Canis lupus familiaris: one gene and its partners. The protein of the gene in region 1 binds, or shares a complex with, the protein of each later gene. Links are inferred from orthologs where the notes say so. Each region holds a gene or a part of one and is shown in the gene's direction. Other genes may lie near its edges. The genes, in order: SF3A1, SF3B4, SF3A2, HTATSF1, DDX46 and SF3B3.

Region 1 (3,500 bases):
TGGTGTCTGTCTCTGGTCATTGGAGACCATAGGAATAGATTTATTCATGAGGTAGAGGTATAGGGAGGATAGAGTGGGGCTGAACCCACTTTACTAGTGACAATAAATACTATTGGGAATTTATGCTGTTTTGAACAAAGCCATCATTCGTTGTCTCATCAAATATATGTTCGTTGTCAGACTTTATTTCAAATGCTAGACATAAAATAGTAAACTAAAGATAGAAATCTCAAAAAAAAAAAAATAAAAAATAAAGATAGAAATCTCTGTTTTTGTGTAGTTTCTGTTCCAGTGAGGGGGACAAGCAAGTGCAACGTCAGTGGATGTCCGATGGTAATAAATACTACAGAGAATAGAAAGCAGGGGACGGAATGTAGGAGATGAAGTCTGTAGGCGGCAGTCTGGAGTCCGGGTTGTCAGGGGAGCATGTGCAAAAGGGTAGGAACAGCCCTGTGCCCTGAGACCAGCCAGCACATGTACACTATATGCTGAGTGATGAGCAGTGCTTTTGCCTATTTTCCTGCCGATCCTTGCAACAGTTTTTTAAGTTGACTCTGCCAGCTTTAAGTGGTGGTGTCACTATTTATAGAAGGCAGCCAAGTTACAGAGGTTAAGTAACTTGTCCAAAGTCACACAGCAAAGTGGAGCTGGAATTGGGACCTGGAACCCCATCCTCTCACTTTTCCTGTGCCTTTCTACAGGTCCCGGAAGGCCACTTGTTTGTCCTGTATTGTGTGGCACTGACACCTGCTTTAACTCTTCATATTGCAGATCTTGATTCCCCCTAAAGGCTTATTTACAAAGCTCAAGAAAGAGGCGGAGAACCCCCGAGAAGTTTTGGACCAGGTAAACTGAATTATAACTAGTTAGTGGTGGTGTGGGTTGTTTCATACTTGGAATAAGGCTCTGAGGTGGGACCTTATTCAGTTCAGGCACAGGAGTGGTGGGAAGAAAGGCCTTATGGCCACAAAGGCTGAAGAACCCTGGACTCTGCTCTCTTTCTACTTTCTCTCAGCTTTACTGGATCTTCCTCTTTTCTGTCCTCACTAGAAGCCAACTGATTATTAGATTAGATGATTAGAAGCCAACTCCTGAATAGGCTTGCTGGTGACAAATGCCTTTTGCTGCCCCAAGTTTTCAGAGTCAAGGAGAGAGAAGGCATATTGGTGCTGCCTGTTCTGGGTGGCTGCATGAAGCCTTTGTTTCTCAGGTTCTCAGATTGCTGCTTCTCTTGTGGGTATGTGTTGTCACATACACTTCCTGGGACAGAGTTTGCTGCTCTGTGAGCATAGACCTCCTTGCCAACTCAAGCAGAAAACTGAGGTTATAACAAATGGCTGCCCTTGGGGCCCAGACACAAGGTTTCTGTGACATTTAGAATTTTTATTCTTTCCAATCTATGGGTCTGACTGAAACCAAATGCAAATACCAGCGTTTACTCCGGAAGTTCTCCCTGTAGACAGAACAGCCTCCTGTTTCAAAGGAGATGCTGGATTTGGTGAAGGGCCTGGAGGTGACCGCCCCATCAGCAGCAGACCCTGATCAGCTTAGCATCATGCCATTTCTGTCTCTTCAGGTGTGTTACCGGGTGGAGTGGGCCAAGTTCCAGGAGCGAGAGAGGAAGAAGGAAGAGGAGGAAAAGGAGAAGGAACGGGTGGCTTATGCACAGATCGACTGGCATGATTTTGTGGTGGTGGAAACCGTGGACTTCCAACCCAATGAACAAGGTAGATCTGTGACTCCAGATGAGTAGCCAGGAGCCATCCTGGAACATCTCAGGTATACATCTTTTCCCAGGGAGCAGCACAGTCCCGCAGAGAGTTTTATCTGTCTGTTTCATCTCTGCTATCAGAATCCTTCAAATTTGCCACATTGCCCCCACTTAAATCCAATAGAGCAAACATCGTGCCAGATGTTGGGTGGACGTCTGGAGCTGGGAGAGAAATCGGGCCCTTGGAGAGCTTACAGTGTGGGGAGGGCAGACTGATGGGTCTTTGCTAAGGATTGTCTGTGGAGGTTGCCTTTGACTCTGAATCACCCTCTACCAGGGAATTTCCCTCCCCCCACCACCCCGGAGGAGCTGGGGGCCCGAATCCTCATTCAGGAGCGCTATGAGAAGTTTGGGGAAAGTGAAGAGGTTGAAATGGAGGTCGAGTCTGATGAAGAGGATGAGAAACAGGAGAAGGCAGAGGAGCCTCCTTCCCAGTTGGACCAGGATACTCAAGTGCAAGATATGGATGAGGTATATGCTCCTGGGAGGTCCTGCAAGCTGGCCTTTCCCTCTGGAGCTTAAGGAGATGGTGCTTTCCACAAGTCAGATCCAGCTCCCTTATGAACCTTGAAAGGAGGCATGGGTCCCGAAAAGGGATCCCAGCTGAGCAGCTGCCCAAACCCAGGCAGCATAGAGCCTCTTTCTAGCTCTGGCAACAAAGATTCATTCACAGGCAAGGATCTAAAAGCTGTGCTGGCTCTGTTCTGTGACCTTCCCCCCTTGGCCCAGAGGCCCTATTCTCCCCTGCCCCCATGCCAGCTCTCAGTAAGGGAACACTTTTTGCCACATGCTTTGATGCATTTGAGCCTAGGCCCAGATGATTAGTGGTTCCCAGAGCTTTTCTCAGTGTAGACTGTGCTTCTTTTCGGCCGCCTCTACCACCCCTACCCCCCCTCCCGCCCCAGGCAGGCATAGAGTCTCCGGAGCCAAGCTGCTCTCCTCCTCTTGGAAAGAAATTGTGTGTGAGAAGAAAGGCCCCTGTGTCTGTGGGAATTAACTTTTTCTCTCCCTCCCAGCATTGCTCCATGAGTAGCTACCATTGAGCACTGACTTGCCCCCCGCACCCTCCCTCCCCAGCATGTTTAAGTGCCCTTGGTCTCCTGGGACTGCCTGGTGCCAGCTGCTGGAAATGCCTGGGCGGAGTGTTAGCACCACGGCCCCCAGCACTCCCATTCATGTTGTGAGGAAACAGCTTGGCCAGCTGCCGGCTGGCCTCGGCTGCCCCCAGAGGCTTAGCACATAGATGCTGGCTGGCAAAGACCTAAGTTCCTTGCCACCCTGAGAGCCATCAGGGCTTAGCTTCAGGGAGGTGGCCTGTCAGCCATTCTCTGAGTCCTACCATTGCTTTGCTTTTCAGGGTTCAGATGATGAAGAAGAAGGGCAGAAAGTGCCCCCACCCCCAGAGACACCGATGCCGCCTCCTCTGCCCCCAACTCCAGACCAGGTCATTGTTCGGAAGGACTATGACCCCAAAGGTAGGGCCTGCATTCCTGCCTTCAAACGTTCCCCAGAGCTATCTGTTTCTAGGAGAGAGTGAGGTGGCTTGTCTCGAAGGCATTGATAACCCATCCTTCGCAGGCCTAGCGGTGGGGAACAGAGCTGAGTCATCTCTGGTGCCGAAGTGCCTTGCACAGTACCAGGTATAGCATGGCACTAAATGGATGTGTCTCAGATGAGTGATGTGTAAATGAAACAACAGTCTTGACCCTGACTACTTTCCAGTGTTCTC
Region 2 (4,024 bases), on another chromosome or scaffold:
CATTCTTTCCCAGTCCCGTTGAAATTGTTGTCTTTTTTATGGGCATGGCAGAGGGGGTCCGGGGTGAGGGAAGGTTCTGTCTAATCCTCCAATTTTTCTTATCTTGGTCTTGCTGTCTCAGCTTTTGACACTCCAGCCCTCAACAAGCTCACTGACCTTTCTGTTGCAGATGGGTGGTGCTAACCTTCTCCAACTCTTGCCCTGTCCTGTTTCATTCTCGAGATATGTTTCTCATGATTTGAGGAATTAAGAAACAAAAGCAATCCAGAATACGATTACCTTTGTTCTTTTCAGGGCAATTCCATCCCTCTGGATACCCAGCCGATAAGCTGTGAGATGAGAGATGCTGTTCATCAGTTCAAAGGAGATGGCCTACAGAACTCATTCTCACCTCCTCTTGCTGCTTAATTCCAATTTCTGTTTCTTCCCTCTGGTTTTCTATGGGTATGCTAGTGGGTATGGGACACATCCTGTCTCTCCCAATTGTATATTTTGTAGTGACATTTCTATTTAACGAGTTCATTAAAGTACAGTTGCTGGCATTATCTCTGGTGTCTGAATAAAAGATCCTAAGTAAAAAAGCGATGATAAACCGGGAGAAGAAGGGACCCACCATATTATTGTTCAGGAAATATGGAGATAGGTCAGGCTGTCCACACTAATCGTTTCGTAAGATGGGGCAAAGAGCATGCAAAGACATGGTTGGTGGGCCCGGGGTATTCTGGCGGTTGAAACTGAGGCCCCTGGGCTGCAATGTCAGGTACCCTCAGCTCTGGGCACACATCATCTCTGAGCCTCAGGTTTCCATCTCCCCCATGCAACAGGATCATGTGAGCTCCGACGCCACTCCAGCTCAGACACTCCGCAATCCTCTCCCCAGAAGCCGCGGGCCACGGTGGAGGGCTGCCTCCGCACCCTAAGGCAGCCGAATCCTTGGGTTGGAGGGTTTCCTCAGCACACCCTTCTCCGGGGAACAAAAGGATAGTTTGCCAACAAAATATTTCTAAATAAAGTTTTGTTCTTTTAGCTTTTGAGTTTACATTTTTAGGAGTACTGTGATCCTTTAACGTCCAGCACTGCCTTAAGAGGGTCTGGGCATTTCCGTTCGGCCCTCATCGCTTTGACCGCTAGCAGCGGCAAATCCGCGCAGAACCACGGACCGGAGAACGCGGCCCCACAAGCCGCATCAAGTCTCCGCAACTCCTAAGATGGCCGGGGCCTCTTCCGGCTCCTCCCCCATCAGGCCCCGCCCACCGCCCTCGTGACTACCTTCGCCCCGGAAGTGGAAGTACTGACTGAGGTCAGAGGGCGGGATCGCTGCCTGGAGACGGCGGGAGCTCTTTCGCCATGGCGGCCGGCCCGATCTCCGAGCGGAACCAGGGTAGTTGGAGGGGATGAGGCCAGGGAGGCTGGGAGGCCTCGAGGAAGGCCAGCCGTGTTTTCGCCGGGGCAGGAGATCGGATCCCCCCGGAGGGCGCGAACCCGGCCCCCGTGCCGGCTGGGGGTGGGGTGGCCGGGTGCAGGCTGAGGCCTGTGGTTGTGATGCTCTGTCCAATCTCCTGCGCCTTCCCATTCAAAAAAACAAAACAAAACAAAAACCCAAACGAAAACCAAAAACAAAGCAATTCACAGAGAATTTGCAGCAGAACCTTCAGTTAGACTTAAGAAGGTTCTTTAGTTCTGGAATGAGAGAGATGTAAGGGCTTACTCTCACGTCTTTTTCCTTTTTTGTTCCTATATCCCATCTCCACTCCCAGTTCCCCCGCCTGTCACTTCCTTCTTTCCCGTCGTTGTCTCATCCCTGCCATAATCTGCTCATTTCTCTTAGATGCCACTGTCTACGTCGGGGGACTGGATGAGAAGGTTAGCGAACCCCTGCTGTGGGAGCTTTTTCTCCAGGCAGGGCCAGTAGTCAACACCCACATGCCAAAGGATAGAGTCACAGGTCAGCACCAAGGTGAGTACATCACAAGAGGCGTGTTTATGCATTGAGGGGACAAGCTGCTCCTGGAGGGTTCCGGCAGTATTCATAGGCAGTATTCATAGCCGTTTTGGAATCACCTGTAGATTCTTCCTTTTAAGTGTCATTCAATGTTTGCTTCTGGAACCATTCCCAGTTGAAGTGAGGTGGTTATTTCATGTTCTTTGTGCTTTGGAAGGTGCATGAGTTACACACGAAATTGAATCACTTCACTTAAGTTAATCTCTGCTTTTCTACTTCCCAGGCTATGGCTTTGTGGAATTCCTGAGTGAGGAAGATGCTGACTATGCCATTAAGATCATGAACATGATCAAACTATATGGGAAGCCAATACGAGTGAACAAGGCATCGGCTCACAACAAGAACCTGGACGTGGGGGCCAACATTTTCATTGGCAATCTGGACCCAGAAATTGATGAGAAGCTGCTTTATGATACTTTCAGCGCCTTCGGGGTCATCTTACAAACCCCTAAGATTATGCGGGACCCTGATACAGGCAACTCCAAAGGTTATGCCTTTATTAATTTTGCTTCATTTGACGCTTCGGATGCAGCTATTGAGGCCATGAATGGGCAGTATCTCTGTAATCGCCCCATTACTGTGTCCTATGCCTTCAAGAAGGACTCGAAAGGGGAGCGCCACGGCTCAGCAGCTGAACGACTTCTAGCAGCCCAGAACCCACTCTCCCAGGCTGACCGCCCTCATCAGCTGTTTGCAGATGCACCCCCTCCGCCTTCAGCCCCCAATCCTGTCGTATCATCATTGGGGTCTGGGCTCCCGCCACCAGGTAAAGCTTTTATTCAAAGTATTTTTGTCTTGGGCTTGGGGTGTGGTGGTGAGCGGGGGCAAGGGGAGGAGAAAAGAACTTGATAAAGGGGGACATGGAGTCAGTAGGTGATGAGAAAGAGAGTGAGGGGTGACAGTTGTGGGGAGAAAGTTGTTGAGTTGAAGAGGCTGAAGTTGTTCCTAGTTATCTAGTATTGCTTCTGATTTTAGAGAGCTGGGAGGAAGGGAAGAGAACTTATCCTGCCTGAGGAGGCCAGATTGAACGGGCTTTCTAAAGACATTCTCTCCTTACTATCGTTAACTTGTCTTTCATTTCCTCTATAGGCATGCCTCCTCCTGGGTCCTTCCCACCCCCGGTGCCGCCTCCTGGAGCCCTTCCACCCGGGATACCCCCAGCCATGCCCCCGCCACCTATGCCTCCCGGTGCTGGAGGACACGGTCCACCATCAGCAGGAACCCCAGGGGCTGGACATCCTGGACATGGACACTCGCATCCTCACCCATTCCCACCAAGTGGGATGCCCCATCCAGGTGAGTGTTCTTTGCTGGGGAAAAGGATAGATAAGCTTGTTGGAGGAGCTCCACTGCCACATGCAGTGCTGCCCTCATCCCTCAGCAGTAATAGTAGATAGTCCCGGAGCTCTGCTTTTTTTTCAGACATTCTTTTATAAAAACAAACACGAGACACTGTTCTCTGTTTACTTTAACAGCTACCACCCTGTCTCCATTTATTATACAAGTTTTTCCAAAGAGTGTAACTGTACTCGTTTGCTTTTTCCTTTAACTTTTACTTCATTTTTCTCCTCCGACTTCTACCCCAAAGCAGTGACCTAATTGCCAAATAGAGGGGGCACTTCCATTCTTTACCTGGTTTGCCATTTGGTGTACTTGAAACTGGGTGTGTTGTCCTTTTTGAAAAGCTTGCCTCTTGGTGTTTCTGGATTTTTCATCTGTCTCAGACTCCTTAAAGTTAGCCACATTAGGGATCCCTGGGTGGCGCAGCGGTTTGGCGCCTGTCTTTGGCCCAGGGCGCGATCCTGGAGACCCGGGATCGAATCCCACATCGGGCTCCCGGTGCATGGAGCCTGCTTCTCCCTCTGCCTGTGTCTCTGCCTCTCTCTCTCTGTGTGACTATCGTAAATTAAAAAAAAAAAAAAAAAAAAAGTTAGCCACATTAGTAGGCTTTTCTCCCTCTCCATGTAGCTGGGTTTTTGTATCTGGTTCTCTTTTCTTTTTTTTTTTTTAATTTTTATTTAT
Region 3 (4,159 bases), on another chromosome or scaffold:
AGTCATCTTCTGGATCTCATTCCTGTAGAATATGAGGCTTCTCCGCATGAACTCGTAGCTGGGGGAGAAAGTGGAATGTGCTCACTCAGGCCCCCCCCTCCCCAGCCCCTGGGCAGGCCCACACCTCACCTGGCTCGACGCAGAGCCCCCATCCACTCCTGACACTGCTCCTCACTGCAGCACTCAAAGTGGTACTTCCTCTCTGGGTCCTCCATGAAGCCTGCGGAGGGAGCGGTCTGTCTGTCCCATCTCACTGCCCGCCGCCCCCTCCGAAGCCCCCCCACGGGCCTCCACCTTCCTCCAGGCCAAGACGACTCCCAGCGGCTGAGTGGACTGAATGGTGCCCCCCACACAGTAGTTCCAGTCCTAACCCTAGAGCCTGTGGCCCAGATACAGAACCCTTCAGAGTGCGGCTACTTAATAAGTCAGGGGAGAATAGGCGGCACAGGACGTCCCCGAGAACATGAAGGGGGGACACGAACACCCTAGGAGTCCTTCTGCAGAGGCAAGGGCGCTGCCAGCTGCCGGCCACCCCGGAAGCCAGGCTCGCCTGGGACAACCTCCCCGACAAGGATCCCCCGCAGGCCCAATGACGTCACTTCTCCAGCCCCAGGGCGCCCACAGCAGGGCCCGGCAGCCCAGTGCAGCACTGCCCAACAGGAGACAAGGTCCTAGAGGAGCTGCACCCCGGCAGCCCGAGGGAAGGGTGGACTTTGTCTCCGCGCAGACCCGCGGCCGGGCCGAAGGGGCAGGGCGGGCGCGGCACTCACAGATGGAGAAGCCGCTGGGCTCTTCCTGGGTGATTCTGCAGCGCTCCAGCAGCAGGGCTCCGACGGGCTGCGGGAGGGGGCGAGTGGGGACCGGCCTCGTGGGGACCCGGGCCCCCGCCCCCGCCGGACCCCAAAGCCCGCCCGGCGCGCCCCCCCCCACACCTGTCCGGGCCCCGCTCCCGGCCCCTCCCCCCGCCCCGACTCCTGTCCGGGCCCCGCCCCCGGCCCCTCCCTCCCCTCCCCCCCAGGCCCCCTCCCTTCCCGGCCCCGACACCTGTCCCGGCCCCTCCCCCGGCCCCGCCCTCCCCTCCCCCCCCCCAGGCCCCCCTCCCTCCCCGGCCCCGACACCTGTCCCGGCCCCGCCCCCCGGCCCCGCCCTCCCCTCCCCCCGCCAGGCCCCGCTCCCTTCCCGGCCCCGACACCTGTCCCGGCCCCGCCCCCGGCCCCTCCCCCGGCCCCGCCCTCCCCGCCCCCCGGGCCCCCGCTCTCTTCCCGGCCCCGACCCCCGCCCGTCGGCCTACCTCGGCCTCGTCCGTCCGGAAGTAGAAGAGGAAGTTGACCACCAGCTTCACCAGCCGCCGCTTCAGCACTGCGGGCACAGGGCGGGCTCACGCGGGCTCGGCCGCCACCCACCCCCGCCCGGCCAGCCCGCCCGCCCGCCCGCCCGGCGCTCCGGCCCGCTCACCACTGCCTTTCTTGGGGCCTCGCATGCCCAGCTCGGCCGCCAGTTCGGCCGGCTGCCGGGACAGCGCCTGCAGCTCCTTCTCGTTGTAGCGCATGGCGCTGCCAGGACCCAAAACGCGGAGCGCGGGCCGCGCCCTCCCGGCCGCCGTCCCCTCTCGCGCCAAAAAAGTCCTACAGTGCCGTCCCGGAAGCGCCGTCGCGGCCACTGCGCTTGCGCGGCCCCGAGACACGCATTGTGGTGTTGGCCGGCGCGCGGCGCTAAGCCAGGCCCGCGTGGGGGAGCACGCGATACCGGCCGACACGGACGGCCGTTATAAATAACCACGCAGTCAGCTGGATCCGAGGTGGGAACCCAGGAAGGCAGCCTCACGACCGTGGCGCCCTCTACCGACGAGCCCACGCCCGCCCTCCCGCGGAAACCGGCCCGGCGCCCGCTAGGCGTGGAGAGCCTGGTGCGCACGCGCACTCCCGAGTTCCGGCCCTTATTCCCAGCCCCGCCCCCTTTCCTCGCCCTCTCGAGCATCAGGTCCGCCTCGCCTGGCGAAGCACGCATGCGCACACGGGAAGCCCTCACCCCTCTCCCCAGACCCCACCGTTTGCCCCCGGAAGCGCTTCTGTAGCCCGCGACGCGCCTGCGCATAACGTCTTCGTGGCAGCGGCGGGCGCGGGGTGAGGAGTCGCGCGGGGTGAGGATCCGGGCTGGCCGAGCGCGGCGGTCCCGGGGCCCTGGCTTCCCCGGACGGGAGCGGCGGGGGGCGGGGGGCTCTCGGGTTCGCGGCGCCGCCGGGCCCCAGCTCCCTGGCCGCGCGCGGGGTCGGGCCCGACGAGTCCCGCCTCCTCGGAAGTGTGCGGGTCGGGTCGGGGCCCGGCGGCGCCGTGGGGTCCCTGGCGGCGGGTCGGGGGGGGGGGGGAGGCCGAGGGGGCGCCCGCGACGGGCCCGCGCCCTGGCGTCCCGGGGCTGACGTTGACTTCGGTTGTCCGCGAACGTGCGTGCTGAGAATTTAGGGTAACAAGCTCTAGACTGAGCATCCCTCTTGGGGCCCCCAGGCGGCCCAGGGCGTGACCCCGGGGTCCCGGGATCGAATCCCCCATCGGGCTCCGCGCAGGGGGCCTGCTGCTCCTCTGCCTGTGTCTGCCTCTCTCTGTGTGTCTCTCATGAATAAATACAATCTTTAAAAAAAAAAAAAAGATTTGTATTTGTTTATTAGAGAGGGGGAGGTAGAGTACAAGCAGGGGGAGGAGAGGGAGAAGCAGGCTGACTGCTGAGCGGGGAGCCCGGGACCCTGGGGTCACGACCTGAGCCACCCGCGCCTCCCGATGGTCTCTGTCCACGGGGGTCTCTGTCCTTTTTTCCGTCCGAACAATGAGATTCTCTCAAGCCCCGGGCCCGGGCTGTTTCCCTTTCTTTGGGAATGCTTTCAGATTTCTTTGAGGATGCCTTCCATGCTTCTTGCTGTTCTCGCTCTGAAATTTCATCTAAGTCCTGTTCTCTTACTTTCCCCCCTGTTTTGCGTTTCTTTGTAAAAGGTTGGTTTGACTTGTACCCGCAAGCTCTTAAGTTCAGCTGTTTCCAAAGGTCTTGGGTTTGGGTTTTAACTGCCCTTGCTAACCTTTGGTGCCGTGCTCTGCATTGGAGGTGTAGTAACTCTCACCCTGTTTTGTTTTGTTTTGTTTTAATTTTTATTTATTTATGATAGATATATATATAGAGAGAGAGGCAGAGACAAAGGCAGAGGAGAGGGAGAAGCAGGCTCCATGTGCCGGGAGCCCGACGTGAGACTCGATCCCGGGACTCCAGGATCACGCCCTGACCGCTGAGCCACCCAGGGATCCCCCCTCTCACCCTCTAATTAAGGAGGATGCTAACATTGCCTGGGGGGGTGGGGGGTGGCTAGCGGATGTGTCTGTGTTTGAGTTCCCAGACTCTAACCTAGCGAGTCTCACTGCCCAGCAGGCCTAGGAAACCAGACAGGCCTAGGTTTCTTTGGGGGTGCAGGGGACTCCCACTGTCAGTGTCTGAGAATACCGTTTCTAGCGTGCTCTCACTGTGTCCCTGGATTGGGGACCTCCAGGTGGACCCTCTGGGCAAGCTGCAGGGGCAGGGCAGGTGTTCATGGAATTCCTTCTTTACAGCCTGGCCCTCACTCCACTCCCTGGCTCTCCAACTCTCTCCCTCTGTGCCTGCCCCTCTAAGTGGAGCGGCCCTTTGTTCAGTTCTTCTGAGACTGTAAAACCTACCCAGGCAGTCGGGTGAGGGCCCCTGGGCTCCTGTAGGGGATGACCTCCCCTGGGGAGGCCAGGAACACTCTGCAGTGGGCTACAAGCAACTGGCACCTTGGGTCTCCAGTGGCTACTGCTTCCCTTTAACTTGGTGACCAGCTCAGTGTTTGCGTTCCGTCTTCCTGAGCCCGTCACTCTAAACGTGGACCCTTTTTGCAACACCCGTGTTGCCTTTGCCCCAGCCAGCCACTAGCATTTGAGGGGCTTATCTGATGGCTTAACAAGGAACTGGAATCCTCACCAGATGGGGTGGGGGGGGGGATCTCCTGGCTTTGTTAACACATTACTTTCCAAGTCAGTCTTATGGCTCTTACTGGCTCCCCACCGCTGGGTCAGTGGGGTGTTCTGGAGATGTCACTGCTAGAACAGGTGACAGGAAGTGAGGGCATGTCTCTGTCCTGGCCCCTGGGTCCCAGCCAAACTGG
Region 4 (4,272 bases), on another chromosome or scaffold:
AGGGTCACGAGCAGTAGTAGGGCTGTGTAACATATTATCACCTATGCTGTGAACTCACTCAGGAATGAAATGGGAGCCCAATAACACATTGCTGAAAACAGCTGTACACTATTTTGGGATCCAGGAAGAAATACTTAGCAATGCTTAAATAAGTGAGCCTAATAAAACTCATGTTATCTATATTATATATATAAAAAAGCATGCAAGTTCAGTTCTCCTGTAGTCTGGAACAGAACAAGAACTTCATGAAAAAGAAATGTACTTAAAAAAAAAAAAAACCAACTCAAACCCAAGCTACTATTTAAAAATCGCTTTAAGGGTTGAAACCATATTCTCACAGTCGGTATTTGGGGAGTTAAGATTTTCTAGAGCCCATACGCAACTGCTATATTTAGAAGTAAAAGATCACTGGGATAGCAGAACTAATTTCTTCTGGTAAGCTTTTTACCCTCACGTCTGGTTTATAAAATTTTACGTTTGTACATAAGAAGTTTATCATTGTTATTTTTAAAGGGATTTTTAAAAACCCTTTTAAACTGTTGTTTTTACTACAACAAATGTTGATAGAATCATCTACATAAACAAGTACGTCTCCCTTGAGCTGTGCCTGTGTTGTTGGCTGCTGGCTCGCCAGAGCCTAGCACAGTCCCTGGCATTTGGTTGCTCAATAAATATCTGCCCGATTAAAAAAAAATACAGACCTTTTTATTTTCTACGATAAATATGTAATTTGATAAAAAGCTGTGTAGAGGGAAAATATTCTGTACTTTTCTAAAAGAAAGACAAAAAACCCGAAGTTGCTGGGCCAGTAAAGCTGGTGCTTATACTTGGATGTTTTAAGTTTCAGGTTTGGAGCTTGAGCACCTCTGAATCGTGGCGTACAAGAGGCAGAAAACTACTGCTCCCCCCTGTCCCCCTCCGCCTTTCCAGAGTCGATCTTCAGCCTGAGAAAGTACCAGAGATAAAGGAGGGGCCTCAGGCTGGGAAAAGAAGGTTGGTCCCCACCCCGTTCGTTCGTTCATTCATTCATTCATTCATTTGCTCACTCGCTCATTCAATACGCACTAGACACCACACCCTGGGCTGGGAGCTTAGGCCAAGAAGCTGAACAAGAGCCGGCGCCCATCCTAGGGAAATCATAAAGAAATAAGCCAAAGTCGCGTTTCCCAAGCGGAACGGGGGAAGGAGGCCTGTCTTTTTCTCAGGAACACAAATCCGTCCCGCCCGCCCCATCCACTCCCCCAAGATGGCGCGCGCCGAGTGGGAACATTCCCACGCCTCCGGCTGCCGCCCACCGCGGCCTCCACCGAGCCCGAGGTCCCTAAGCGCAGCGGCCCCCGCGCCCCCACCCCGCCCCGCCCCGCCCCGCCCAGGAGGCCCGGGTGGGCAGCGGCGGGCGATTAGCAGCGCTCCCCGCAAGACGCCCCGCCCCTAGGGTCCAGCACTGCCCGCCCGCGTCGGCGCTTATTGACGCCACTGGAGGCGTGTCGGCGCGACCCGCGACGTCTCGACGTGCCAACAATGGCGACTGCGTCAGCCTGAGCGGGCCTCAGTTTTCCGGCAACCTCTTGACGTTGCCGCGAGGGCCACGGGGGCCGCGGGAGCCGCGGGAGCCGCGGGGGTTGCAGAGGCTGCAGGCGACTCCGACCCGGTCGGCGGCGGGGGCGGCGGCGGCGCGCGTGCGCGCTCCCGCCACGCCCTGGGTCGAGCCGCGGCGCCGAGGCCCGGTGGAGCGAGCCAGGTGGGCGGCGGCGCGGCAGGGGCTGCAGCCTGCGGCGCGCGCGCGCGCGCGCGGTGGGAGAGCGGGCGGAGCAGGGGGCGGCGCGGGCGCCGGTCGGCCCCGACCTCCCGGGGGCTGCTGGGGCGCCGCGGGGAGGCGTGCCGGGGGGCGGCGGGACGCGGGCCCAGTGCGACTGACCTCCCTTTCTCTATAGCCTCCGGCTGCATCTCGGCCTCTTTGCTCGCGCGGACCCTGTCCCTTGCCTAAGTCGGCAACATGAGCGGCAACAACTTGGATGGGAACGACGAGTTTGATGAGCAGTTGCGAATGCAAGAATTGTACGGCGACGCCAAGGACGGCGACACCCAGAAAGATCCCAGTGGAGAACCCGATTCTTTCGGGCAGCAGCCGGCTGACACCCCGTACGAGTGGGACCTGGACAAGAAGGCTTGGTTCCCCAAGGTACGACGGTGGCACGGGCGGCACTGCAGAGCGGGCCCGCCTGGCCAGCCTCGCGGGGCGCCCCTTTTCCGTTTTTCTTTGCTGAGGTCTTGAGTTAGGGCCCCATGGATAGTGACGTTTCTTTTTGTTGTTTCTGTTGCCGAACCGATGTTAGAGAAACGTAGATCTTTACCGAGATGTCTCGAATGTAATTTAATTCTTAAATCTCTTCTATGCCTTATTAATTTTGTCTGTGAAGGTCATGGTTGGTTATTGCATTGGTTACTGCTTTTTATTGCAAAGAGGAAAAACACCGAGAGCAAATTTAGTAGCTGTGGGTCTCTTGGATAGCCAACCTCATATACCCTAGGAATTCTGATGTTTGCTTAGCTTGTGTACTTTGTGCAAAATGCAGCTTCTTGGTTTTGAAAAAAAAATAGCCATTTATATCCCTTTATAGATTGAACTTGATCTGCACCTCTCTTTCCTATCAGATTTTGTCCCTAGGCATGTGTGTTCGAACCATACAACCACAGGCACGGAATATGGATAGAAGATATCTGTGTATATTTGTGTAGAGTGCTTGGAAATTGTTAAGTATTTTATTCCAGGTTGTAAGTAATGTAACCGGTGTTAACTTGGTTCTGCAAACTTTTCAGCAAAAGTACCCTGTTAATCAAAGTCTCATGTGGGTGGGAAAATATACCAGTAGCAATCAACTTGCAAGCTGGTAATATAAGCCATGTCTCCATTGTGTAGTTTGACTGTTATTCTTAAAATTATTTGTTTCAATTTTTTTATTTTCCTTTTTGTTTTTGTATACTTCATTCCCTTTACATTGTTACATTTATTATTTTGCTGGTTCTGGTCATCCCAGCTCCAGAGCAGATTTGGTTTCCTGAGGACTTTTAACAATAGTCTGATAATGGATTCATTTGTGACTCTTATCTTTTTATGTTATTGAAACCCATACCTCTTGAAACTTTGAGTTTTAAAAATTCCCCACTCCTGTATGTGCGTAACATTGACCAGAATGAAGGCAGACTCCTATTTCTTTCATTGTGCAACTGGGCTTTTTTTCCCCTAAAAGCCAGGAGGATAGATGGATGTGAGTTGAATTTGTTCTTAGTTTGTTCTGACACTAAAAGATTGTGTCATTTAATTAGTGAGAGAGTGAAAATAAGCATTTAGTTTTACAATCGTTAGTTCTATTCTCTATATACTAAATCAGTTTTATCTTGTGTGTTCTCTACATACAGACACTCAAATATTTAATGCGTGTATACTTTTGTGTATCTCTGTAGCAAAAGAAAAATTGATTCTGTTGTTAGGTTATTGACTGTTGGTTTTTGTTATATTGTTATCTGGTACTTCCTTTATTGTATGTACTTGTAGCCTTACTCAAGTAGACTGTAGAGAGGTAGTGATTTATAAATGAATCAACTAGAAAATGCGCCAACACCACTTACAGTGCCAATAATTTCCTTAAGAGTTTTGTGTTGATAATCCAAATACCCATCTTATTTTTTTTTGTCATTTTATGCACATTTTCTGTATAACATGACTATTCTTGCATTTACACTTTATTTACTACAGCCATTATCTGTAGAAACATTTCTGTGTTCAGTTGTATAACCAAATATGCAGAAATTTATCACAATGTACACTTTTTATGGGAAGAAGTCATTTTCAAATTTCTATATGTGTGTGTGCTGAATTTTTTGTTTAGATCACTGAAGATTTCATTGCTACATATCAGGCCAATTATGGCTTTTCTAATGAGGGGGCATCTAGCTCTACTGCAAATGTGCAAGAAGTCAGTGCTAGGACTGCAGAAGAACCGCCACAAAGAAAAACCCCTGAACCCAATGATCCCAAAAAGAGGGGAGAAAAGAGAAAGGCTGAACCAGGCAAGTGGATTTAGCTTGCAAAATATGAACATAAAAATGTTAAATGTTAGCATGTGTATATATGATTACTATTTGAAGAATTATAATAGTCTTGAAGGAATCATAAGATGAAGGGTTTTTTTATTATTATTATTTAGATTTATCCATTGGCTTGCACACTGACTTGTGGGCATTGGGGAGGCTATTTCAATTCTGTACCTC
Region 5 (3,500 bases), on another chromosome or scaffold:
TGTCTCTCATCTCTTCATTTACCAGAATGCAAGTTGCTTAGGGCCCCAAGGCAGGAGTTTGGTCTATTCTAAAATTTTTGCTGTCCTTGCTTCCTTTTCAGTATAGTTTTTTCCTGTCTACACAGACTGTAGATAGCTACAGGCATCATTCCTTTCCCCAGATTTTAAGAGTTGATGAATAAAAAGTCATTTCAGTGTTTGTCTGTTAAGATCTTTCGGGGAAAATCTGAGTAATTAAATATAGAAGCTACCTGTGTTTGCTAAACCTAATCTTGAACTTAACATTCTAGCCACTATCGAAAGCGATCAGCATCAAGGGGGCGCTCTGGAAGTCGTTCTAGAAGTCGCTCACCCTCAGACAAAAGAAGTAAACGTGGAGATGACAGACGGTCTAGAAGCAGAGATAGAGATAGAAGGAGAGAGAGGTCTCGTAGCAGAGATAAAAGAAGATCTCGGTCAAGAGACCGGAAGCGCCTGAGGTAAGACTAGTTTCCTAAAAATGATAAAGTGGGCCTTCTCAGGTAAATCAGGCTTCTTCAAAAGTGGAATTTAGTGGCCCCTTTGTGGGCATTCTCCTTAAACCCAGTTCATTTGATGAGGTCCAGAGGTGATTTGCCTGAAGCAAAGACTATTAAACGGTGTTTTAAGTTTGGAAACGTTAGGCTATATTTCTTGTAATCCAGAGAGAATCCCCAGAGTCCCCTGAGAAAGGTGGTTTTATTTTATTTTATTATTTTATTATTATTATTATTTTTTAAAGATTTATTTATTCATGAGAAACACACACACACACACACACACACACACACACACAGAGGCAGAGACACAGGCAGAGGGAGAAGCAGGCTCCATGCAAGGAGCCTGATGTGGGACTCGATCCCTGGTCTCCAGGATCACACCATGGGCTGCAGGCGGCGCTAAACCGCTGCGCCACTGGGGCTGCCCTGAGAAAGGTTTTAAAAACAAGTGAAAGGTAAGGTAATATGTCATCAGGGCTGTTCTGTTCTAATTCTGTCCCAAGAGAGCTGACCACTGTGTTCAGAACAGCCACTAAAGGCAACAGGAGAAGGAAAAGGGCAGAGCCATCTGCAATCCCTGTTTGCTGTTTAACACTTTAAAGAAAAATGGGGGATCCCTGGGTGGCTCACCAGTTTAGTGCCTGCCTTCAGCCCAGGTCCTGATCCTGGAGTCCCGGGGTTAAGTCCCGCATCGGGCTCCCTGCATGGGGCCTGCTTCTCCCTCTGCCTGTGTCTCTGCCTGTCTCTCTGTTTCTCATGAATGAAAAAATCTTAAAAAAAAAAAAAAAAAAGAAAAGAAAAAAAAAAAAGAAAAATGGCTTTTTAAAAGCTTTTTATTTTTAAGTAATTTCTTTACCCAACATGGGCTCAAACTTATAACTCTGAGATCAAGAATTGCATTCTCTACAGACTGAGCCAGCTAAGCACACCTGGCCCACCCGGCCCACCCACCTCCCACTTTTTAATTTCTAAAAAAAATTCTATTTATTTATTTAAAATATTTTATTTTTAAGTAATGTCTGCACACAATGTGGTGCTTGAGCTTGCAACCTCAAAATGAAGAGTTGCATACTCTACCAACTGAGCCAATCAGGCAACCCTGTTTGACACTGTTTTATTTATTTTTTAAGATTTTTAAAAAAGTTTATTTATTAGAGAGAGAGAGAGAGAGAGAGAAAGAAAAAGAAAGAAAGAAAGAAAGAAAGAAAGAAAGAAAGAAAGAAAGAGAAAAGAAAAGGAAAGGAAAGGAAAGAAAAGAAAAGAAAAGAAAAGAAAAGAAAAGAAAGGAAAAGAAAAGAAAAGAAAAGAAAAGAAAAGAAAAGAAAAGAAAAGAAGAAAAGAAAGAAAAGAAAAGAAGCAGGCTCCATGCTGGGAGCCTGACGTGGGACTCGATCCCGGGTCTCCAGGATCACACCCTGGGCTGAAGGTGGCGCTAAACCACTAAGCCACCGGGGCTGCCCTTGGTAGTTTAAAAAACTATTTTTTTTTTTTTAATTTTTATTTATTTATGATAGTCACAGAGAGAGAGAGAGAGAGAGGCAGAGACACAGGCAGAGGGAGAAGCAGGCTCCATGCACCGGGAGCCCGATGTGGAATTTGATCCCGGGTCTCCAGGATCGCGCCCTGGGCCAAAGGCAGGCGCCAAACCGCTGCGCCACCCAGGGATCCCAAAAAACTATTTTAGATTTAAACAAAAGAACCTCCTAATTTTTATTTTACTTTCACTTGCTTACATATTCCTCCGCATCAGTCAAGCAGCTGTAACCTTTCTAGCTGTTGAAAACATTGTAAATAAAAATAATCTTCCTTACACCAAAAAATCGTTTGATAAGTTTCTTATTATTATAATAGGAAATTAGACAAAGTTATACATGTGCTATGAACTGATCACAGAAAAAAACTGTCTTTTTCAAACAGCGGAAGAAGAAATTGAAAAGGTATTACAGGGTACTCAGGGAAAATACTCATTTATGAAAATGTGCATAGTGCTAACTTACTCAGTTTTGTATCATGTGGTGCCAGGAACAGTTTCATAAAATTCATTCATGTACTTGTTAAGTGAAATTGATTTTTTGGGATTTGGTCTTTGACTTTCAGGAGTGAAAGTAGAATCACAAGAAGAGCAAGAAGGATTTTGAGATTATCTAAGTGAATTCTCCATATTATATAGATGAGGAAGCTGTGACCCAGAGAGTTGATCTGCCCTGTGTCATCTCACAGTCAGCTCTAGAATAGAAATTGTTTCCTAGTCTTTTTTTTTTTTTTTTTTAAGATTTTATTTATTTATTCATGAGAGACACAGAGAGAGGCAGAGATACAGGCAGAGAGAGAAGCAGGCTCCATGCAGGGAGCCTGATGTGGGACTCGAACCCACATGATAATCCTAGTGTAAACTCTAGGATTACACCTGAGCTGAAGGAGGCAACGAACTGCTGAGGCACTCAGGCATCCCTGTCTCCTAGTCTTAATTTCTGTGATCTTTCCTTTTTTTTTTTTTTTTTTTTTTTTTTTTAAGATTTTATTTATTCATGAGAGACACATAGAGGCAGAGACATAGAGGGAGAAGCAGGATTCATGCAGGAAGCTTGATGTGGGACTCCATCCCAGGACCTCACACCGTGAGCCAAAGGCAGACATTCACCCAGGCGCCCCTTCTGTGATCTTTCCATAGCCCCATTGTGCCCATCCTTATACTTAGGTTTTGGCTGACTGAAATTTGGATTTTCTACTCTAGACCATAGATTTTAAAAAGATTTATTATCACAGATTTGCTGTTTTTCAACAAATACCATTTTGGCATTAGTATTGTCATTTTTTTCTTTAACCACTTGTAAGAATTGGCTTTACTTGTTCCTTGTTTATCTGACTTGATGGTTAATTGAAATCTCAGCCTTTAATAATGGTAATAGTTAAAAGGGTTCTTTCAATACGGGACAGAACCATTATCTGAAAGAAATTTTACTTGGTTCATAGAATGAATGA
Region 6 (3,500 bases), on another chromosome or scaffold:
AGACTGAGCCACCCAGGTGTGCCCCAAGTGACTATATTTTTAAGAGTACTTAGGTTCTGCTTATTTTGGACATAGTTTGGCTTAGGCACATCTCTTGGTCTCATTTGACAAAGGTTGTAGGTCCCCTACTCACCATCTCTTTTTGTATGGTTGCAGGTTTCCTGTTTTAGGTGATTTTTGTTCAGGAGAGCACCCACTTTATTTTAGGAAACACAGCACAAATACTACATGTTGAGGCAGTTTCAGTAATTTAGAATGAATTTGGAATTGATGTTCTTTTTTTCAGAGTTTGTCAATAATAAGAGGAAGTTTTAACTCTTTACTGTCGCGTTATCACTGGAGTGACAAAAAAAAAAATTTCACTAGTGAAAACCAGAATTGCAAAAAAAAAAAAAGGAAAAGAAAACCAGAATTGCTGTTGCTGAAGTAGAAGGCCCTTCTAGGATTTCCTTGTTTTCTGTGCAGAATCTTCTAGGTTAGAAGGCTGGTATTTGATGTTAATTTATGCTAACATGAGAGCTTTAGAGATTGATGCATTTGTGTGACTGGTTTTATACTTTTACCTGAGTTTCTAGACCCTGAGTGATCTATTAATTCCCTGCCTTTTGCACAATAGGATTTTAGCGTTGGAGAAGCTAGGTGCTGTCTTCAATCAAGTAGCCTTTCCACTGCAGTACACACCCAGGAAATTTGTCATTCACCCTGAGAGCAACAACCTTATCATAATTGAGACAGACCACAATGCCTATACTGAAGCGACAAAGGCTCAGAGGAAGCAGCAGATGGCAGAGGTAATGTAATGAGACTGGCCTTCAAGGTTCAGCTAAAAAGCATTCATGTGAAATTTTGTTGAAAAGTTTAAACTCGTGTAATTGTTGATTATATTCTGTTAGATTAAAAAAGACCCAGGCTGGGATGCCTGGGTGACTCAGAGGTTGAGTGTTTTGCCTTTGCTCAGAGTGTGATCTCGGGGTCTGGTGATCGAGTCCCACATCAGGCTCCCTGTGAGGAACCTGTTTCTGTCTCTGCCTCCTCTCTCTCTCTCTCTCTCTCTCTCTCTCTCTCTCTCATGAATAAATAAAATGTTAAAAAAAAAAAGACCCAGGCTTTTGTCCGGTCCTTTAAGCAGACCCCTTTGCCTGAATCCTTGTTTTTAGAGATTATCTTGTGACTCAGGACTAATACACTGACCTGGGTTTATTCAGTATTCAGCTTTCCTTTTGAAACAGAGTTCTTCAGTCCTTGAGCTTCCCAAACAGTTTATGTATGTGTTTCCTGGATTCAGGCCCAAAGGAGACAGATTTCATTTTCTCCGTAACACTAGTTCTTTCCAGAAATCATCTCCTAGCAAAAAAACAAATAGCTCCAACCATGTAAAGCTGTGTCTGGCTTGGAAGAGATGAGACAAGGATTTGTAGCAAGGGAAATCAGATGCGATAGGTAGAAAAGTGGTGTTTTCATTTTATGTATCTCAGACCACTCAGGTATTTGCCGTAGTTGATGTTAGGGTTTTTTTAGGCATTAAAAAATGAAGTACCTGGTTTCCCCTTTAGTGGTTTTCCCTCTTCCCCTTATCTGTATACCTCTCCCTTTAATCTTTACTTTATAGGAGATTTGTTTTTGGCCTACAGACTTGGCTACTTACATGATATGAATTCCCCCTGGAGGTGTTGTATATTTGTCCACTTCTCACCCACTACCTACCTCTGAATATACCGACTCTTCCTTTTTTTTTTTTTTTTTTTTTAAGGTTTTATTTATTTATTCGTGAGAGATAGAGAGAGGCAGAGATCTAGGCAGAGGGAGATGCAGGCTCCTCTCAGGGAGCCTGATGCAGGACTTGATCCTTGGACCCCGGGATCACATCCTGAGCCCATGGCAGACCCTCAGCCGCTGAGCCACCCAGGTGTCCCATCTTCCCTGTTTTGTGTGTTTGTTTTGTGTTTTTGTGATTGATTGATTGATTTTAGGAAATGGTAGAAGCAGCAGGAGAAGATGAGCGGGAGCTTGCTGCTGAAATGGCAGCAGCATTCCTCAATGAAAACCTCCCTGAGTCCATTTTTGGAGCTCCTAAGGCTGGCAATGGACAGTGGGCTTCTGTGATCCGAGTGATGAATCCTATTCAAGGGAACACGCTGGACCTTGTCCAGCTAGAACAGAATGAGGCTGCTTTTAGGTAAGGAGCACAGGATGTCCAAGGTTTTGGGAGCTGGAATGAGAATACTTTATATTATAACTAATGCCTGACTCCTGCTTCTTTCTCTTTTTTGCAGTGTGGCTGTGTGTAGGTTTTCTAACACTGGTGATGATTGGTATGTCTTGGTGGGTGTGGCCAAAGACCTGATCCTCAACCCCAGGTCTGTGGCAGGGGGCTTTGTCTATACCTACAAGCTCGTGAACAATGGGGAAAAACTGGAGTTTTTGCACAAGGTAGGAACCAGCCAGTGGTACTCCTGTGTCTCTGGTCCAACTGAAGTCTCCCACTTTTGCTTAAGTTGTGGGTCAGGTCTTTTGGTGACCATTTTGGGAGCCAGCTCATTGATTATGTTCCGTCTCTTGGTGGGACACAGAAACGCTCTGGCTTTCATGCTCCAGTGAAGCTCCACTGCCCGGGGGTCCACAGGAAGCCTGTGTTCTAACCATCCACAATGATGACTTAGATACACACCGAATTGGCCCCTTGTTTATTGCTTTTACTAAGCAGACAGCAATTTGTGACCAAAATCTAGTAGATCTAAATAATTAATAATCTCTGGAGAAATGCCTTTAATGGATAGTTTCCCTTTGGAAAAATAAAGTTCTGGGGATGGTGGTGGTGGTTGCACAACAGTGAAAATGTTTGATGTTATTGAATTGTATACTTAAAAATGGAAAATTTTATGTGTATTTTATCGCAGTTTTAAAAATAAGGGAAAAATTTTCCTGTTCTTCCACATGGACAACAAATGCATGTAGTTCCTCTAGCCCTTTGAAGCACAGGGAAGTGTCCCCTACAAAATAACTACTTGTGGACTTTTTTTTGTGTTAAACTCATTGTATCTCCCTTAAAACTAAGAAGTCACTTGTCACTCCTTTCCCATCCCTCCACAACCAGCAGTCACTTTTTTGATATTGAGGCTTCACTGTTAGTGGCACCAGTTGAATTAACACAGGCTCTAAGACCACATTCATTAGGCTCCTTTGACTTGTGACATTGATCCATTTGCTAAGTGATTTGCAGTGTGTGGGACCTGTTTACGCAACCACCCCATTTCCTAGAGACTGTTGTATGTGTGGTTTATTTCTCTGATGAGCCAAAGGTGATCACTCACTGTTTCTTGTAAAAACATTTTTGGTTGAGAGGGTGGGGCTAGCCTATGGCTGGTGTCCTAATAGCTACATTACCTGCTTTTTTTTCCTCACAGACTCCAGTGGAAGAGGTCCCTGCTGCCATTGCCCCATTCCAAGGGAGAGTATTGATTGGTGTGGGGAAGCTTCTGCGAGTTTATGACCTGGGGAAG

Evidence for each region.
Region 2: SF3A1 (region 1) and SF3B4 share a complex: the UniProt entries of both Homo sapiens proteins name them as parts of the 17S U2 SnRNP complex. The link is inferred for Canis lupus familiaris from reciprocal best matches to the Homo sapiens genes SF3A1 and SF3B4.
Region 3: SF3A1 (region 1) and SF3A2 share a complex: the UniProt entries of both Homo sapiens proteins name them as parts of the SF3A subcomplex of the 17S U2 SnRNP complex. The link is inferred for Canis lupus familiaris from reciprocal best matches to the Homo sapiens genes SF3A1 and SF3A2.
Region 4: SF3A1 (region 1) and HTATSF1 share a complex: the UniProt entries of both Homo sapiens proteins name them as parts of the 17S U2 SnRNP complex. The link is inferred for Canis lupus familiaris from reciprocal best matches to the Homo sapiens genes SF3A1 and HTATSF1.
Region 5: SF3A1 (region 1) and DDX46 share a complex: the UniProt entries of both Homo sapiens proteins name them as parts of the 17S U2 SnRNP complex. The link is inferred for Canis lupus familiaris from reciprocal best matches to the Homo sapiens genes SF3A1 and DDX46.
Region 6: SF3A1 (region 1) and SF3B3 share a complex: the UniProt entries of both Homo sapiens proteins name them as parts of the 17S U2 SnRNP complex. The link is inferred for Canis lupus familiaris from reciprocal best matches to the Homo sapiens genes SF3A1 and SF3B3.

What each region holds. Positions count from the first base shown.
Region 1 is NC_049247.1:23,899,586-23,903,085, reverse strand, and holds part of SF3A1 (splicing factor 3A subunit 1), read left to right. Parts: intron 1-771; coding exon 772-846; intron 847-1,576; coding exon 1,577-1,727; intron 1,728-2,048; coding exon 2,049-2,242; intron 2,243-3,128; coding exon 3,129-3,246; intron 3,247-3,500. UniProt on the Homo sapiens protein: Component of the 17S U2 SnRNP complex of the spliceosome, a large ribonucleoprotein complex that removes introns from transcribed pre-mRNAs.
Region 2 is NC_049238.1:59,867,874-59,871,897, reverse strand, and holds the start of SF3B4 (splicing factor 3B subunit 4), read left to right. Parts: upstream 1-1,224; 5' UTR 1,225-1,347; coding exon 1,348-1,381; intron 1,382-1,828; coding exon 1,829-1,957; intron 1,958-2,225; coding exon 2,226-2,768; intron 2,769-3,091; coding exon 3,092-3,298; intron 3,299-4,024. Other genes in the region: MTMR11 (myotubularin-related protein 11), read left to right, coding at 1-22. UniProt on the Homo sapiens protein: Component of the 17S U2 SnRNP complex of the spliceosome, a large ribonucleoprotein complex that removes introns from transcribed pre-mRNAs.
Region 3 is NC_049241.1:57,268,151-57,272,309, reverse strand, and holds the start of SF3A2 (splicing factor 3A subunit 2), read left to right. Parts: upstream 1-1,359; 5' UTR 1,360-1,455; coding exon of another isoform or gene 1,456-1,549; 5' UTR 1,550-1,798; exon of another isoform or gene 1,799-1,906; intron 1,907-1,973; exon of another isoform or gene 1,974-2,140; intron 2,141-2,356; exon of another isoform or gene 2,357-2,460; intron 2,461-4,159. Other genes in the region: PLEKHJ1 (pleckstrin homology domain-containing family J member 1), read right to left, coding at 1-58, 130-220, 771-837, 1,292-1,359, 1,456-1,549. UniProt on the Homo sapiens protein: Component of the 17S U2 SnRNP complex of the spliceosome, a large ribonucleoprotein complex that removes introns from transcribed pre-mRNAs.
Region 4 is NC_049260.1:107,799,828-107,804,099, forward strand, and holds the start of HTATSF1 (HIV Tat-specific factor 1), read left to right. Parts: upstream 1-1,472; 5' UTR 1,473-1,741; intron 1,742-1,934; 5' UTR 1,935-1,996; coding exon 1,997-2,182; intron 2,183-3,890; coding exon 3,891-4,071; intron 4,072-4,272. UniProt on the Homo sapiens protein: Component of the 17S U2 SnRNP complex of the spliceosome, a large ribonucleoprotein complex that removes introns from transcribed pre-mRNAs.
Region 5 is NC_049232.1:22,851,523-22,855,022, forward strand, and holds part of DDX46 (probable ATP-dependent RNA helicase DDX46), read left to right. Parts: intron 1-290; coding exon 291-479; intron 480-3,500. UniProt on the Homo sapiens protein: Component of the 17S U2 SnRNP complex of the spliceosome, a large ribonucleoprotein complex that removes introns from transcribed pre-mRNAs.
Region 6 is NC_049226.1:77,109,314-77,112,813, forward strand, and holds part of SF3B3 (splicing factor 3B subunit 3), read left to right. Parts: intron 1-616; coding exon 617-791; intron 792-1,970; coding exon 1,971-2,176; intron 2,177-2,273; coding exon 2,274-2,430; intron 2,431-3,404; coding exon 3,405-3,500. UniProt on the Homo sapiens protein: Component of the 17S U2 SnRNP complex of the spliceosome, a large ribonucleoprotein complex that removes introns from transcribed pre-mRNAs.